Canis lupus familiaris: one gene and its partner. The protein of the gene in region 2 purifies or fractionates together with the protein of the main gene of each other region. This does not show direct contact. Links are inferred from orthologs where the notes say so. Each region holds a gene or a part of one and is shown on either strand. Other genes may lie near its edges. The genes, in order: OGT and ASXL1.

Evidence for each region.
Region 1: the proteins of ASXL1 (region 2) and OGT purify together in Homo sapiens (affinity purification with mass spectrometry; 3 studies listed by BioGRID and IntAct, with this or other methods). This does not show direct contact. The link is inferred for Canis lupus familiaris from reciprocal best matches to the Homo sapiens genes ASXL1 and OGT.

What each region holds. Positions count from the first base shown.
Region 1 is NC_049260.1:56,041,332-56,045,156, reverse strand, and holds part of OGT (UDP-N-acetylglucosamine--peptide N-acetylglucosaminyltransferase 110 kDa subunit), read right to left. Parts: intron 3,568-3,825; coding exon 3,442-3,567; intron 2,850-3,441; coding exon 2,679-2,849; intron 2,574-2,678; coding exon 2,457-2,573; intron 2,365-2,456; coding exon 2,194-2,364; intron 142-2,193; coding exon 1-141. UniProt on the Homo sapiens protein: Catalyzes the transfer of a single N-acetylglucosamine from UDP-GlcNAc to a serine or threonine residue in cytoplasmic and nuclear proteins resulting in their modification with a beta-linked N-acetylglucosamine (O-GlcNAc).
Region 2 is NC_049245.1:22,305,309-22,308,277, reverse strand, and holds the end of ASXL1 (polycomb group protein ASXL1), read right to left. Parts: coding exon 1,826-2,969; 3' UTR 819-1,825; downstream 1-818.

The DNA of each region.
Region 1 (3,825 bases), on a different chromosome or scaffold from region 2:
CTGCAAAGTAGAAGGGTCAATTTTGTATAACTGATTAAAATTACAGTACACAATGGCATCTTCTGGTAACCCATACTGAGAACGTGTGGTAACAATAATGGTACGAGGAACCTCCTCTCCAGTGGCAGCTTTATTGTTGATCTGGAACACAAAAAACAATAGGATGTTTATATTTAAAGTCAGCAGTATGTGGTATTTTTTAATTAATAAAGAATCCTTGGGGTGCCTGGGTGGCTCAGTCGTTTAGGTGTCTGGCTCCTGGCTTCAGCTCAGGTCATGATCTCAGAGTTGTGGGATCAAACCTGGCATCAAGCTCTGTGCTTAGGATTCTCTCTCTCCCTCTACCCTCCAACCCTGCTTGTGCATATATGTACACGAGCACATGCGCACATATGCTTTCTCTAATAAATAAGTCTTAAAAAAAGAATCCTTAAAATGCCAAATAGTATAACCACTAAAAGTCATGTCATTTGAACTGTGAGAAAATATTCATGACATATTAAGTTCAAGAAAGGAAAAACGTTACGGTATTATCTTAATGGGGGCAAGCGGAAGACTTTACCTTGAAACTTATCACTCAAGCCAAAAAGTTCTTTTCAAAATCTTATTAATCTAACAGCAAGCTTTTGCTCACTTTTTTAATGAATGTCCTTTTCTAAATCACATCCATCCTTGAAAGTTAAATTATTCCTCCAAACCATCTTCACTGTGTCTCCTCACATTGATCACCACTATTTTTAAGTATCTATGTACACAATTATAGTCTTACCTTGCAATTCCCATACATCGAGGTACTGCCTTATATTGTTATCTAACTATTCCAGGTAGGTTTCATACATTTGGGCATCATGTTCTACACCCAAAGTTCTCTGTCCCTGTGTATTTCAAGAACTATATACTTTTTTTTCCTTAGGTCAAACACGCCTATTGTTTCAAATGACAGTTAATCAGAGATTAAGAAAAAATATGGCACTGTCTTTTTAGCCCAATAAACCTTGTAAATGATTATTAATTCCTTTATCTTAACAGGAACTTGCCTGAGAGAAAAAGAGTTCATTTTAAGCATCCATGGTATAAACTGTTATACCACTAAAACTGTTAACTCCTAAGAGAGAGATCCTTGCCTTATAATCTCTTGACAGAGATACATATTCACTTATTCCAATATGCAACATGTTTATTGAACACATACAACATTACTGTGGCTAAGGTATGGGCCCTAAAGTAATTCAATTCAGGGAAGAATACACAAACATAGGGAATTATAACATGCTGTGCTGGATGTAAAAATGCATTTCAAATATTACAAAAGCAGAGAAGACAGGTGCCAATGGAACAGGGAAGGCAAGATTACTAATAGAGACAGGAATAGATCCTGGAGGAGCTGTATGAACTGAAAGTCTTCAAAGGGAGTAAGATTTAACTAAGGGAAAGAATTGAGTTACAGAAGCAAGAAACTGTACGAGGTCTACAGATAATTCACCGCTGATAAGAGGAAAGCTACAGGCAGGAAGTAACATATTATTAACACAGTAGACCCTCATTAAGTGATCTAATGACTGAATCCAAGAGCCTTTTAAAATAAAAGGCTAGGGCAGCTCTTGTGGCGCAGCGGTTTAGCGCCACCTGCAGCCCGGGGTGTGATCCTGGAGACCCGAGATTGGGTCCCACGTCAGGATCCCTGCATGGAGCCTGCTTCTCCCTCTGCCTGTGTCTCTGCCTCTCTCTCTCACTCTGAATAAATAAATAAATAATTTTTTTTTTAAAAAAAAAGAGCACTTCCAAGGAATTTCCAATACAATAAATTACTTATAAAAAATAAAGTAAAATAAAAAATAAAACACTAATAAAAAGCCTTTAAAAATAAAAGGCTTGTAAGATGTCAATTTCCACCACTCATTTCCTCAATATAAGACAGGGATAATGGTGCTTACATCTCCTAGAGTTATTAGATTTAAAGAAGATAAATGAGGGCAGCCCCAGGAGCTCAGAGGTTTAACGCCACCTTCAGCCCAGAGTGTGATCGTGGATATCCAGGATTGGGTCCCACATTGGGCTCCTTGCACGGAGCCTGCTTCTGCCTGTGTCTGTGCCCCCCTCTCTCTCTCTCTCTCATGAATGAATAAATAAAATCTTAAAAAAATAAGATAAATGAATACTTGGTGGTATTATGCTCTATTATTCTCTTCTCACCTGGGTAGTTGCTAGTCCATTGCTAATACTGAATCCATTAATTGTTATCTGAATTTGCCCCCTGTTAATCATCTCGATAACCGCTTCTGCAATAGTATTCATAGGAATAACGGGCATATTAAGAGCTGTATTACTGCTGTCTCCATTGTCTCCTCCGTCAGGACATTTCATCTTTAAGAAAAAAATGACAAGATGTATCATTAGGGAAAAGATCCCAAATGCAGATAACTTTATTTCAATGACGATATTGACCAGGTTCTGACCTTGACAATTTTCACATCCGGCAGACTATCAAGAAATGCTTTGAGGTCAATGCCATTCAGAACAATCCGATTATCATAAATGTGGCCATTGGACTTAAAATCGATGACAGCTTTTTTCTAATCAAAAAAAAGTTTGAGACTCTTTTAGGATGCATAGGGACAACAGCAAGGAAATAAACGACTACAGTTCTTTGCAATGTCCACATAGCACTGTTTTTCTACCTTCAAGTGAGGGAACATATTCGCATGATCACCAATAAAGAAAGTATGGGGCATATAAGCCAGTTTCTCAGAATACTGCTCAGCAACTTCAGCTGGTGAAGTTTCCTGATCAGTGATGATATAATCCATGAAAAGCGCACCACTGGTCCCAGGGTATCCCAGCCACATTGCCTAAAAGATTAAAAAAAAAAAAATCAGGCCAAAAGCTAAAAAGCCTCACCAAAAGAGTTCAAAATAATAAACAAACAAATAAGGAGGGTTGACTTCTTTAGCTAGGAGGAATCAAGTAGTATTTCAGCCTAACCTTCTCAGTGTTAAACGTTTTCCCAATTTAAAAAACCGAACTGTTCGTATTCAACTATGAATTGCATATCTCTATACAAATGTACCTGTGGGCACTGTGTTCTACATTAAAATTTCTTTGTCTTGGGACACCTGGGTGGCTCAGTGGTTGAGCATCTGCCTTTGGTCACAATCCCAGGGTCCTGGGATCTAGTCCCGCATCAGGCTCCCCGCAGGGAGCCTGCTTCTCCCTCTGCCTATGTCTCTGCCCCTCTCTATGTATCGCTCATGCATAAATAAAAATCTTTAAAAATAAAAAATAATAAAATTCATTGTCCCTGTGCATTTCAAGAACTATACTTTTATTAAGTCAAGCATATCTGCCCTATTGTTTTAAATGCCAAGCAACTGGAGGGTGGAAAAAAATCACCATCTTTATAGCTTAATAAACATTGTAAGCAATTACTATTAGTTCCTTTACCTGAATAGGAGCAGGCCTGAGAGCAAAGAGTTCATTTCGAGCACCCTTGGTATAACCATTCATATTGACAAGGATGTGTATACCATCCTGATGGATGCGATCAGCTGCTTTTCCATTGCATGGAATCTATGCAATAAAAAACAGAACTCACTATGTATAATCTCAAACTAATTCAATAAGTTTTAATGGCATTAAATAGAATTCAGAGTCACAGGTACAAAACATAGTAAGAAGACAAATTACATTTATGCAGTATAAAAATATGGTTAAGTCATGAGAGACTCCTGACTCTGTGAAACACAGGGTTGCAGAATGGGAGGTCAGTGGGGGGGTAGAATAACTGGGTGATAGGCATTAAGGAGGGCATATGATGTGATGAGCACT
Region 2 (2,969 bases):
AGGCCGCCAAAGGTCACAGCAGAAGGAAGATCACACACACCTGGGCCTCTGCTCCCGGTCTTTGGTAAACAGATTATTAAAGTTGACAACTTGGACTTGACCAATACTGCATTTACATCACTACGTGACTGCTACCTTCTCACGCTTTAGATGACAAAAATGCCACAGTGGATGAGATGGGGTGGGACGGGGGTCTTTCGGGTGAAACTTGCTGAGGTCACACCAATTTTCTACTTCACACAGAAGCACTCATACAGGGAGATGGAAGTCAAACGAGGGCTCTCAACTCTGCCGAGTGGAGGAGTAAGAAGGTGGGGAGCAAGGCGAGGGAAGATAACTATGGAGATGTCTACGTGCTGGGAGTGTGTAGTGAGAGAAGCAGGCAACAGGTGTGGCTTTCTTCCCCAACCTGCTATCAAAAGAACACCAAATGGTCCCAGGTATTGAAGGTGGTAACCCTGGAGCCACATCTGGAATGCCTGCTTGGGGCTGCCCAGGGCACTCACCCTTGACTTCAGAGCACTTAACACTGGTGGCGGTGATTTATCACATATGGCAGCGAGAAGCCAGTGGAAGGTCAGAAGAGAAGAGACATGAGGTGAGACACATCTGCTCAGCAGAGCGCAGGTGGGCTGGCTGTGGTTCTGCGGGCCACAGCAGGTCCATTGGGCGACCAGGACAGGGCACTGGGCCACGCTGGCAGATCCCAAGTCAGTTGCTGCACCCTTCTGTCGGGTGGTGGCTCTGACTCAGGCAGAGAAGCACACCACTTTAATGCGATGTTGCCGGAGACGGATAATAAGGGAGAGACACTCGTGTTCTCTGTACAATACATCCATTTACAGAATCGGCCAGTACTGTGTACAACATATAAATACATGATAAAACATTAGAGGTGCATAGAGCATACTTACAGAAGCCAAAAAGTTCACTTTATACATCCAAGGATAAAGAGTTAAAAATATAAAAATAAGAAACACACACTGCTTTGAAATGTAAAATGACTTTCACATACACAGGTGCGTGGAGATGCCCACTCCCACTGAGTCCAAAGTGACAGGGAGGGTGTCAAGCAGAGGAATTCACCTGCCAAACATCTGGACATCTGACTTACAAGGTCTACAGATGGCATTTTAAGAGGAAAGACAACCCTATGCCCAACCCCATTGTCCAAGCAAGTCTATTCAAGGTTTCAAAAGCTCCTGCGGGCCAGTGAATGGTACCAAGACAGGAAAGTCCCAAATTTGCTTCAGCAACAGAACCAAAGGTCAAACTGGCTCCTGTCAAATGGCAAGTGACTGAACTGTGCCCCTGAGGTGAGCAGGTGCTTGGGCCCCCTGGTGGGCACTGCTGGGAGTTACTTTAACCCTGTGCTGGCTTCCCCAGCCATGAACTCCCCCAGGCGGAGCAGCAGAAGGGAAGATGGCAGGGAGGGGGCAGTGGAAGACTGGCAGGTCTACTCAGTTCAGGTAGGTTAGTTCCCCTGATGGAGAACACAACCTTCTTTCTTCAGTTTCAAGTCCCTCTGGGTGTCAAGGTAGGCTCCCCACGCCACACCAGGCTCTGTCTGCATGAGAGCTCAAGCTGGCCAGCCGGCCTTGGGCAGCCCAATGAGTTGCCAGGCAGGAAACCCTTCCAGCAAGACCAGAAGAGTTGGTGAGTGACAGAGGGGCTTTAGCACTACAAATTTTAGGGAAGGGCAAGAGTGCTCTTGCTTAGAGAAACAGAGTCTATTATATCAATGATATTCTGTATACAGGTGTAAGATCAATCATTATCAAAATACACACACTAAATATACAACTTTTCCCATGGCCATAATTTATTATCTCACCACAAGGCACAATACACAGAGCTTTGAGGGTCCAATACAGTCATCGTGACAGAACGCACCACAGCCCTGACACATGATCATGGCTTTCAGGCTGCACGCACACTGGAGTGAGATGCTTTCCACCGTGCTGCTGTCGGTGAACATCTGCAAGGAAAGTGATGCGCTGTGGCTCGCACCAAAGTTTGCTTTGTGGCTCAGCTGCACCACACTTCCAGCAAGGCCTTTGGGAAAGGTGGGGGAGCTGGAGGCATAATTAAAGCTGGTGGAACTTAGCTGGAGTTTGGAAAGCTTCCCATAAAATGCCTGTTTGATATTGAGTTGGGAGGGGATGGAGGAAGGCTCCAGAGGCTGACCAGGCCCTTTCCCAGGCTCTCGGGGTAATTTCCAGAAGGGCAGATCAAGGACAAAGGGCATCCCTTGCAAGTGATCCACTAACTCCCGTGGACCAGGACCAGTGGCATTTCTGTTCTCTGCATTTGCCTTGAGAGGACCCCCCTCAAAAGTCTTCTCGCTCTTGATGCTGCCAACAGAGGCAGGGGGTGGCTTTGGAGCCCAGTCTTCTCTGGTGGTCTGTACCCCACCAGACACAGAGTTTTTGCTTGGCCCCAACTTCCTACTGGGAAAACTGGGAGGGGCATCAGCAGGCAGTGGTGTTGGCTCCATGGGTCTGGGGCACTGAAGGGCTGCAGCCTCATTCCTAGGGCCAAAGAGCTTCTTCCCTTGGCCTCCAGTACTGTTCTGATTACCCAGGGCCCGACCTGTCTGATCAGGATCCAAGGAGATCGCATTTGGAGAAGAGAAACAAGGGTCTCTCGAGGTAGTGAGATTTCCTGGGCTTTTGCCTGGGGCAGCATTTGAATTACTGCGCTGGGATACATCAACGGCTTCCTTCTGATCTTCCAAACTAACAGTAGAGAATCGCTCTTTGGAATCCACTTCTTCTACTTTTCCAGAGGCAGTCGTCAGCTCTGTCACTGGAAATAGGGAGTCTAGACTTGGGACTGTCTTGGAAATCTTCTGGGGTGCTCCAGGAGCATGGGTGGGCTCTAGCCTGGCAAGACTGGTGCCTGCTTCATGGCTGTCAGGTAAAAGAGGCTCCTTTGAAGCTCTTATAGCACGGGGGCTGCTCCTGCCA